Linked DNA regions of Arabidopsis thaliana. The protein of the gene in region 2 interacts with the protein of the main gene of each other region in a pairwise test. Each region holds a gene or a part of one and is shown on either strand. Other genes may lie near its edges.

Evidence for each region.
Region 1: the proteins of LSP1 (region 2) and eIFiso4G1 interact in a two-hybrid assay, tested with the Arabidopsis thaliana proteins (one large-scale study listed by BioGRID).

What each region holds. Positions count from the first base shown.
Region 1 is NC_003076.8:23,437,655-23,444,321, reverse strand, and holds eIFiso4G1 (MIF4G domain-containing protein / MA3 domain-containing protein), read right to left. Parts: upstream 4,823-6,667; 5' UTR 4,568-4,822; coding exon 4,394-4,567; intron 4,022-4,393; exon of another isoform or gene 3,916-4,021; intron 3,736-3,915; coding exon 3,664-3,735; intron 3,559-3,663; coding exon 3,451-3,558; intron 3,361-3,450; coding exon 3,151-3,360; intron 3,050-3,150; coding exon 2,952-3,049; intron 2,833-2,951; coding exon 2,745-2,832; intron 2,653-2,744; coding exon 2,302-2,652; intron 2,215-2,301; coding exon 1,972-2,214; intron 1,888-1,971; coding exon 889-1,887; 3' UTR 507-888; downstream 1-506. Other genes in the region: MPS1 (multipolar spindle 1), read right to left, coding at 178-345; AT5G57860 (Ubiquitin-like superfamily protein), read right to left, coding at 5,235-5,293, 5,677-5,716, 5,863-6,048, 6,329-6,331.
Region 2 is NC_003076.8:13,823,623-13,828,202, forward strand, and holds LSP1 (Eukaryotic initiation factor 4E protein), read right to left. Parts: upstream 2,782-4,580; 5' UTR 2,710-2,781; coding exon 2,519-2,709; intron 2,359-2,518; coding exon 2,184-2,358; intron 2,086-2,183; coding exon 1,954-2,085; coding exon of another isoform or gene 1,948-1,953; exon of another isoform or gene 1,512-1,947; coding exon 1,446-1,511; intron 1,357-1,445; coding exon 1,324-1,356; 3' UTR 1,219-1,323; exon of another isoform or gene 999-1,218; intron 972-998; 3' UTR 802-971; downstream 1-801. UniProt on the Arabidopsis thaliana protein: Recognizes and binds the 7-methylguanosine-containing mRNA cap during an early step in the initiation of protein synthesis and facilitates ribosome binding by inducing the unwinding of the mRNAs secondary structures.

The DNA.
Region 1 (6,667 bases), 9.6 Mb from region 2:
TTAGAACCTCCGTCTCGCAACAATTAGAGCTGACCTAGATTTCTAAACGAAGAACAGAAATCGAAATGTAGCCTAGAATTCGTAGATTTCACCAGATATATATATCAGATAGTTCGCAACGAGAAGGCCATTAAAACCAAATGCAAAAAAAAATAAAAAAAAATCGAGAAGTTTCACCTTCTGCTTCCAGCGAAGTGCATCAGATTCAGAAGAAACATAACAACGGGAAGTAGAAGAAGAAGATTGATGATTCTGAAACTTAGATCGTAGCAGAGAAACAGCGATTGCCAGTCTCAGCGACTCTTCCTTCTCTGTGTGATTTGCTTCAGCTACGCTTGAACTCATTTTTGTTTAAAATTGAAAAAAAAAAAAAAAAGTATTTTAGTTTTCAGGATAATAACTAATGATTCTCTGTCCTGCGCGGGAGAGTTTTTGTGACGCTTTACAAAGCCCACTCAGGCCCATTGATCAAACTTGATAAAGCTTAAGGTCGAATGAATCATTTACTCAACTAATGTTAGCTCAGAATCAGATAGGAATAATAGGAAGACGATGATCAAACATTTCCAATGTAATTATCTGAACCGACCAGTTTATAGGGGTCTCAAGTCTCAACAACAATCAACTGAATATAATAACTGAGACCGTAAAACAAAAATGCAAAGGTCAAAAAAAGACAAGTCACAGAAGAATACAAAAAAGGACATGGACTCATGCCCACAAAGAAGAGTGGTGAGAATAATGTCATAAGAAAAAGCTTCAACGAAGAGCAAAACTATTTTTGAGTTCTGAGAATCCTTTTCTCCTCCTCCTTCAAGCTTACAACACAACATTCATCGCACAAGCATAAGACCCAGAGAGAGCAAAATCGTCAAGTAATGATTCCTTTTACAGATTCCGACAAGCCTCTATGTCTGCAGCCTGTGAGGCCAACAAGGACTTCCCCTGCTCGCTTGACTCCACAATGCGTACAGCTGCATCGACCACCATCTTCTGGAACCTATCGTCTTCCATCTTCCCTATAATTTCTCTAACCAATTTGAAATCCACACCACCAGCCAGAATCAGCTTTCCCACAATCTCACCAAAATTGTTTGGTGCCTTAGGAAGATCAATTCCAATGTCGTCCAACATAGCACCGTAGAGCAAGAACCCAGTTTCAAGATCCTTGGGTGCGACTACCTTCTTTGATAACAAATACTCCAAGAGTGTAGCAATTGGCTCAACGACAGGCGGGCTTTTCTCAAGAGACAGGGATATTGCTTCCTTCACAAACTCTGGGTGATATGACGGCAAACCAAGCTCCTCTACACACTGCAGAGCTTCACCAAGTAGTCGGACATTGAAATATTCCTCGAGAAGCGACTTTGTTTTTCTTTGGAGCACTTCTTCGCTCAACTTGGGACCACTAGGCTGTGGTTTCTCCACCGGAACTGGTACGGTCAGAGGTGCAACTGACTGTGCTGGCCGTTCTGCTGACACGGTAACTGGACGCGACACTGAACCACTTCCCTGCAACAGTGCGCTTGTCTTGCCACTCATAATGCCACTGCTGCCTTGAGGTAAGAGCCTCGTGTTCATTGAGGCCGACTTGCTCACTGCTGGAGAATGTAGAGGTCCTGGCCCATCGCGTCTAGACATTGATCTTGTCCGGGGTACCTCCCAGTTATCATTGTCCACTCCGGGCATCCCAGGCATCCTTCGCGTCCCAGGCATACCAGGCATCAAGCCACCCGCACCAGGTCGCCCACCAGGGTAGACAGGGCCAGGGCTCACAGGCCCACCACTAGAAACCATACCCCTTCTCATATTTGCAGTGGCACCTGGTCGGAGACCAAGATTCTTCTCTGCCTCAGTATGTATTTCGGTTATAGTTCTTGCTTTCATCTGCACGAGTAATGTAAATAGAACATTAGAATCACTACACAATGGAGCAGGAAACAAGTCTCAACCTTGTAAAACCTAGAATACCTCTTCCCGCCTTGGAACCCAGCCATTGGAGCGCATGTCGATGATATTCTGAACCATGAATCTCAGACGCAGTTCCAACTGAGGATTCTTTGACAGAGCCTGTAGGCGTTTGAAATATACATCATTAATCCGTTTTGACTTCACGTTTCCGTCAAGTTGTTTGCCAATAGTTTTGAAGAAATGACAAATAGCTTCGACATTTTCCTCGGCTGGACAAACTTTCTCATCGGCCCCCAGAAGCTCCTGTGCACAGAACAAATTAAGAAAGGTTAATGCTAGATACCAAAATAAAAGAAGTCTAAGAAAATGTGTAAGCTTATAGGTGTTAACCTGAACAATGTGATGAACAATCTTTTCTGGGACCATCTTCTGCTTCAAAAGCTCACCAATCAAACGAATATTTCCTAGAGTCTTGAGCTTCAACAATTTTTCTTTGTCATTCCGCTCAGCCTCCTGATCTGGAGCACTCATCTGTCTAAGCTCCTCCCTCAACTGAGAAGCGCCCTCAAATGCCTCTTGACAGATATTCAGTAGAACCCTCTTAAATGTAATCTCCTTATCCCCAGGCTCTGCAGGTGGGAAGGTGGGCAGCTGGTCGTTGATATCAGAGCACAATTTTGCATACATAGGGCAAAAGGTCGGCTCAAGGACAGCTTTGTCAAAAATAAGGGTAATCACACCCTACAAATGAAAGAAAAGAACACGGGTTAGCCACACAAACAGCCTAGATGATTCAAACAAGACTTCATCTATGCTTGAGACATAGCATACACCTTCAGGATATCAGCAGATGTGATGCCAGATTCAATAAGTTGGCCCTTGAGAAGGTCATACTTTTCAGGGGTTAGCTTGTTCAGTATCCTGGACAAGAAAAGTATATCTTTGTAAGTGTGCATAGTCTATTTTAAAGATTTCATGTTGGCAGTAAAGGAAAGTTATACAAAAGTCTAGACAACTAATAACTGTCACAACGGCATTACCCTTTCACAGTCTTCAGAACACGATCATTTTCAGAAAGGTTTCCTCTTCTAGCTGACCAAGGAACTTCGGCTTTGACGAGGACAGGAGCTGGTCCACCCTGGTTCCACACGATATACAAATAAGTAAGAAAAATAAGAAATCATGCCAGAATGTAAAGGGCTAAGAAGAGGGAAAAACATTCATCTATTGATCAATTACCCCTTGGTTGGATGATATGTTTGCCCTTGAAAACTGGGAATTAGGTTGGTCTTGACGATTATATTGACTTGCTTCAACATACCTGGAATCTTTAGCTTCACGAAGATTATCCCACGACCTTTCCTCCCCAGAGGGTGGAGGTTGAGTAGAACGGCTACGCCAATCACGAGAGTCTGGCTCAGAGAAGCGACTTGCGGATTGAACGGGAACCTGAACCATTAAAATAAAAGATATGTGTTAAAAGTGAAACTTCATGAAACTATACCAAAATGCAAAATTTATGTTTCAACAAAACTATACCAAATTGCTTACGACACTTTCTCCACGTGCCCAAGTCCCTTCCTCACCAAACAGTTCAGCTGCAGTTTCCCGTTGGACTCTCAGAATTTCATCAGAGAGTTGAGTGGTCTGTATATATGCACAGACGTCAATGACCTCAACTAAGGAAGAACAAATACGAACAGCAGAAACTAAACCGGCTTTAATCCTATATTATTTAACTGGGATAATCACCTCTTTAAGCTCCAGGAGCTGCTCACGGGTGTACTTCACACGTTCACGGCCATCGAACCTCGAGTCTCCACCCTGAAACAAAAGCACAACCCAGGATAAATCTTCATTAACTAACACCCAATACACAAAATCATATAAGAAATAACGTATAAAGGAGACAAGGAACCACGAGTACTCAGTACAAAAGAAAGAGAGGAATAATTCTTTAACCATAAGGCCGAAATGAGTGATGAACTAAAGAAAAACTAGAAGAAATGTCAGTAGGTCCTTTATGAGCAAATAGCAGCTAACAAAATGCCCACCTAAAAGCCTACATATCATTATACGTCCATATTTACAGCAGAAACACATACTTGCGTGCGCCACTAAGAATCAGGACAAACAAACTGCTTGCATTACTCGTATTGACATATAAACCTATGAAGTTCAATTATGTATGTTGCAGACACCTATCAAAATCCAACATGAGCTCAGTAGTTATTACAAACACAAAGCATTAAAACTCGCAAATCAGAAAGATATTAGCCAATTCAGACATTTGAGAGAATCAAATCAGCAATATACCAAAGATTATAATTCCAAACAAAAAGGCTGCTGATTGCGACAAACCCGTAAAAAAGGATAAATTTTTAGCTCAAGCTAAGACAAGAGAGATAAAACAAATTCTAAATCAGAGGAAGAAGAGGGAGTTAGATCCAAATTTAGAGAGGGGACCCAGAAATGAGGGTACCTTGAAGGGAAAAGAGGAAGCAGGAGCACCACCATGAGGACGAAGGAGAGGTAGATCCGAAGATGAAAGAGAGCCAAAAGAGAGAGACGAAGAAGAAGAAGAGGAACCAAATAGTCTGTTTCCTCGACCGCCACCAGGTCTCAAGCTCAGAACCGTTTGATCGCCTTGCTGCATACCTCGATCTAATCCGCCTTAAGATCGAATCGAATCTCACAACAAAAATCGAAGAGAAAGGTAGAAGCTTTATCAGCGACGATGAATCGCTGACTCCGATAATCCAAGGAGAGGAGGGATCGGATTTCTGGGTCTCTCTCTCTCCTGCCGTTAGCGAAGAAGAGAAGAGAAGAGAAAAGTTGAGATTGAGAAATGAGAAGAAGAAGAAGAAGTCGAGAAGGAGACACAATCCCTTCTCTTTATTAGGGTTTTTTTCCTCTCTTTTTCCCGAACCAGACACACTTATAGCCTTAACGTTTTTTTCCGTTAAGATTACAGTTATGTCCTTTCATTTTGTTTTTTTGTCTCTTTATTTTGTCACCCTCATTGGGTTTTCCGTCAATGAACAATGTCAAATGGTAATAATGGAGCTTCCTCGGCTCGTGTTAGCTGCACCTCTAGCTCATTGTAAACATATTAAGAGACTGTAAAAACTACTAATCTGGCAAGTTGCAATCAAACTTCCACATCTCAATATCTTTACTTACAACAATTGTCTGTAACAAACTAAAGAGGCGTTAACACAAGCAGAGACGCAAAAGAAACAACTTCTGGCGTTTATAGACTCCTCCTTGTGTTTTGAATCAATACCTTCTCCTGAAGTTTCCTTGATACAGTAAGCAACTCTTCATGAAAGTGAGAAGTCGGTGGGCTGTGCAATGTTGACATCCTCAAACTCGTTATCATCTGCACATGGAAAAAAGAGATGCAATGCAATCATTATGCCGTTCATAGCTGTATAGATTCAGAATGCAATACAGCATCCTCAACAGTTGTGTAATCGAAACAAGGCTAAAAGAATAATAAGATTAGGAATCACATTCAGCTATATCACGGTCACAAAAGTTAGGCAAGACTCTTAAACATACCAAAAGATTATCCAGTGATAACAAAATAACTAAGATTCACAATAACAGGCTCAATTGAAGTCAATGGAGTTTGAAGGGTTCATATACCAAATAACATATAGAAAGATGAAGTGTGATAAGTAATTAACCAAGATGCATGATCCATTACGACATTTCAACAAGGAATTGAAAATTTCAGAATAAGAGGATCTAAGGTATAACCTTTCTTCAAAGTCAAAGCCACAACTGCATCATTCTCAACCTGAACAACCAAAAAAGAAGATGGTGACAAGCTTATAACTTTCAAATACACGCAAACGGAGGCAGTGGCTATGTGACCAAGTTCTTCTTTTAAACTTGAGCAATGACTCAAAAGATAAATATATTAGATAGTCAAACGTGTGATACCTTCTGATCTGCTAAGGATTTCGAATCCTCTAATACTTCTTCGGTAGACATTAAGACCAGACGCTGATTGTTAACTGGTTGCTCAATGAGAGCAAACAGTTTTTGCTTAACATCCAAAACAGTCTCTGTTGGATCACATTGGATAAAGTAAGTAGTTTTCATGCGCTTCACACGAATATACATAGCCTGCAAACAATATTACACAAGACTAATCAATACTACAACCAATATGGCCAAAATCTAACTTGTTCGATTGATTAAAGCAAAATTATTGCAAGACAAAAGTATCTCAACTTTTATTACTCCAAGAAGAACAGTAATAAATGTGATCAGGAAGCTGGAATTAAGAAGGGAAAAGATGTTCTCATTCCAAAAACATCTCTACTTCCCGTCAAATAAGCAAAGGATTGAATATACTAAGAACAATCAAACCCATCAAAGTGAACAAAAGAAGTAGAATGTTTACCATGGCAAGATAAGGATGAACAATTCACTCTTCTTCCGCTGCCGATTCACAAGACTTTAGAATCAAAATCTGTTCTAAGATGCCAATAAAAGATTAATCAGACTATCAGTGACAATTGACACACCTCAAAGAGTCAATTTAACTAAAGAGATGATCTAGTTATCCCCCAAATCTTTTCTTCTTTTGATATTCAAAAGAAAAGAAAAAAAAGCAAAGATTTTCAAAAATTACTGACTCAAATAACAAACAATGAAATCGACTTACCTAGATGGGTTAAGGACGAAAAAGTGACCACAAGAATGGATTAAGGATGAAATACTGGCAAAGAAATCAAAGTTG
Region 2 (4,580 bases):
TTGCCTTCTTTTGAGGATGGACCTTGCTTCCGAACATAACTGAAGACTTGGAGAAGTTGATTAAAATTACCAGATTAAACAACGACTACATATCTACCAATGCAATAATAGAACCGTACGACTCCAACATAAGACAAAACACTAATATCCAGTTTGGAGAAAAAAATGATTAATTAAACCATATGAATCTGAAATTTGTTTTTCCAAAACTTGTTTAAGAACTTTTCATTGATGTAAATTGCAATCTCATAGTTTTGTTAACAACAAAATGAACTGTAAACCCAATTTCAGACTCGTGTTTGTTCAATCCTAAACATGTTGGTTTCTTTCCTGATTTGGCTATATCTTTTTATAATTAATAACAATGAGACTATGATAGTTTATTAATTAAAAAAATATACAATATATTAATCAGTTCGGGTAGCCGATTTGGAATTGAAGAAATGTATTTAGTATCGAGTATTAATTTATAAACATATACTAAAAATCTTAATCAAATTTTTTTCCTTAATCCAAAATCTCTAAGCTTTAAAAGTTCAGTAGCCAATTGACACATTGTTTGTATTTATAATTTCAATATGAGTCCATCCTAAACCTAAAATAGATTTAAGCAACTTGTAAGTGAATATTTAAATAATCAAAACGAATTGTTATAAGGTTTTTTGAACCATTTTAGAGGACCCAAAAACTGTGAATCGGAGATGGAAGATCCACAATTTGTAATCGACCATATCTCCTTGTTCAAGCAACTTTAAGATAAACTCAAAATGGTATAGACTCTTCCTGAAGAAGAAATCATAATCTCACGGCTATATAAAAAGAGGATAAAACTAATAAAAGACTAAACTACTGCTTAACTGCAACAGTATTAATTAAAAAGGTTCAAAATCACAGTACAAAAACAATTAATACAAAGGAAAATCGTGGAATCCTGCTCTAAATCAATTTTTTACCAGATTCTTGAAATTTACCTACAAAGAAATAAGATCTTGTAAGATTGTAAATTCATATAGTGATAATTACAAATGCGATAGACATGTACTAACACTATGTGATCCAACAAAATACAAAAGAGAAGCATTAGGGTGTTGCTAATAAGAGTATATTATCTCTGTATTTGTCTAACAAGTGGTGGTTTCGAAAGAGATTTATATAACTCAACTTAATTTATAACAAAAAATCATTTTAATGAAACAGAAAACTTTGTAGAGTTTACACCTCAAAGTGAATGTCCCTAAATGTCTCAGCTATTTGAGTAAACCGACCAAACAGTATCACAAAAAAAGCCATATTGCATCTTCCTCTGGCTTCACACTCGTTTCTTCAGACAGTGAACCGGCTTCTTCTGGAATCATCCTGCGTATAGACAAAGATATATTAAGCCACATGAGATCTAAAACATGTACAAAAAGATGATAGCTTCTTCTTTAGAGAAGTGTAATTACATGGTTATTGAAAGTTATCTTGTCGGTGACATCAAGTATCTCCTTCCACTTCTTCCCAATACCCATCTGAATTACAATAACAAACACCAAGTAATAAATTCATCAGATAGATTCATAAACCAATCTTAACATATTGCCAAGTTTTAAAACAGATGTCCATTGACAAAGATAGTTATGTTTATAATGCCAATGAACTATTATATTTACTATTATGTTTATAAGTCGCAACATATAACCTTAACATTAAAAACAACAATTTTACTATTGCAGAAGTATCTCAATCATCAGAAGCTGGTAAAACTCTCAAGGACAGGCAACAAAGCAAGTTAAGCATCAAAACCCACTAGCTATATAGTTCTCTGTGTAGCATTAAGAATTCTCGTAACGAGTGTTAGTATTTTCTAAAGTTTACCAAACTAAATTTGGATATCCCACCAACAATCATAATCATGAATAGCCAACACCAGCATCAATATAAACATAGTGAGAAGACAAACAAACATCATACCAGAACAGCTTCATTAGACTTCGTCCTAGTCCACAAGGAGAGCTTGTCTTGCTTCGACTGTGGACGGACACTAGCAACCACACCACAAATCTCATCTGCTTCATCAAATTGCTCTCCAATCAAAGCCATCAACTACATATCATAAGAAATAGAACCAGTCACCAAAACCACATATCATCTAACAAAACACAGAAGAGTAAAAGGTTAGGGTTAGGGTTAGAATGTAATACAGTTTCAAGCCAGCCTTTGTCTAAAGCTTCCTTCCTATTAGCAGTAACAACCCAAGTCCACTTTCCTCCATTAGCACACTCTGGATCTTCCCACTTTGGCTCAACACCAGCTTTGAACAAGTGAATTTCAGCATTCGCTGTCAATTTGCTAGTCTGAAATATAGTCTCGTGCAATCTAACAATAACCAAAAAATTAACATCCTTAGATTTTCGGATCCATACACATAGATCGAGATTCACAATAACCATAGCTTCTATACAAATCCCAGATTTAGAAGTTACAAAGCAAGGCATTGACAAATATTGAAATCAAAGGAGAAGAGAGAAAGACGAACCCCCAAAAATCTTCGACGGTGTCGAAAGTATAGGCTTTACGAAGAGAAGCTCCCCAGGCGGCGCCTTTCTTTGATTGGTTATCGAACCAGAAACTCCACTTTCTTTCGAGCTTGTGTGGTTGTTTCTCCGCCTCTGTCGCCGGTAATTCCGCCGCCGCCGGGAGAGGCTCGTTCACATCATCGGTCGCCATATTCTTCGCAGTTGAGTTTTCTTCTGAGACGGCTTTTGGTTACGAGAGAGGGACAGAGAGATTGTTTTTGAGATGTATTTTGGAATGGTTTAAGAAGTGAAAAGGGCTATTTCTGGACTCTATTGGGTCAATTTTGGGCCGGTCCATCAGAGCATTTAACTCTTCTTTTCTTCTTTTTTCTTTTTCTATTGTCTTTTGGTATTTAAAAAACAAGTAAAAATAAAAATCTCCAAAATTAATTGCAAGTGGAATCCCAATAGACAAGGGTTTAAAGTATTTTTTTTTACAACAAGGTGTTGTTAAAAAAAAAATAAAAAAAAATACACCAAGGTATGAGATCTAATTTCCAAATAGCGGAATTTCTTTCATATTGTCAATGCAAAATCTTAATTAGTAGTATCAAATTAGAAAATATTGTTTACATTAGAGGTTCTAGAGTAATAAAAGATATTTTATTATATAAAGCATGATTTTTAAATTTAGTAATTCATATGACTGTTACATGTGTTATTTTTGTAGATCTTAGATTTTGGTACATGTAATTTTATTATAAATTTTAAAATTTTTAATATAAAATAAGATAAATTAAAGAAACAAAATAGTTTTAAAAATGTAAATAAGATTTTTATATTATAGTTCCAAATATAAATTAAAAAAATAAAGTTATTATAATTCCTAATCTTTTTCCCCCAAAAACAAGAAAACTTACAAATCTCTGCTTGATAAACTCATATACTCTCACTCGCCGCCTAAACTTCGGCGACGTTTGTTTGATCGCCGTCGTTCTCTCTTAAGACGAGAAGAAGTGGCAAAAACTGTACATTCTGTATCAGTTACCGCATAAAATCCGGCTACTAATTATATAGAGGTGAGTATTTGAAATCTTTTTCCTTCTAAGATTATAATTAATTGTAAAATTCCTTTATGTATTATATTTAATATAATAAGATCGTTTCCTTAAATCCTTTTTAAAATTTTTAGGAAGACGGTAATCAATTTTCTTTTAGAATTAGTAATTTCAAATTAGAATTAGTAATTGATTTATAATTTCTTTCAGTAAGATACATATAATTATCTTCTTTACATTTTTATTTCTTTAAAATAATATGTAATCTTATATTTTCTATCTTTGTTTGATAAGATACATATAATTTTCTAATATTTATCTTCTTTCAATTTTTTAAAATTGTTTTATATAAGATATATTAATATTTTACTTTGGTTTTTATATTTATATTTTTACTCATTTAATAAAATTGATAATAAGATTACATGTGTCAAAATCTAAAATCGAAAACCATACTTTATATAATAAGATATAATAATAGACAATTCTCAAAAATACCACTAAGATAAGTTTTTTGTTCCAAAAGTAACACCATCAGTTTTTTTCGTAACAGTACCAGTAAAAGATACTTTTTTTGAAAATCCCACAAAACTAAAATTCACCTATAATTTAAACTTTGGGTCTGCATTTAATATTTTGTGTTTAAATTTTAGGGTTTAGGATTTAGTTTTGAAGGTTTAAAATCTTTAGAAATCATTTTTAGACTTTGTGGTATTTTTGTACTAAATCGTTTGTAGAGGCATTTTGGAAAGAAAAAAAAACTATTTATGGTTTTTTGGAACAAAAACTTAGCTTAATGCTATTTTAGTGTATTTCTCTATAATAATAAAACTATGTTACTTTTAGTGATAAACCTTCTATTTTTTTTTTTGAGACTCAATTCAAATCAGTTTGTTTAGCATGGTTGACAACAAAAAAGGGTGGAGTTAAAGCAATTTTTTATTTGCTAGTGCTTGTGTCAAGACCACCATCATTTTAACAAAAAAAAGAAGTAAAAACTTAATAGCTTTAATTTGCTCATAAG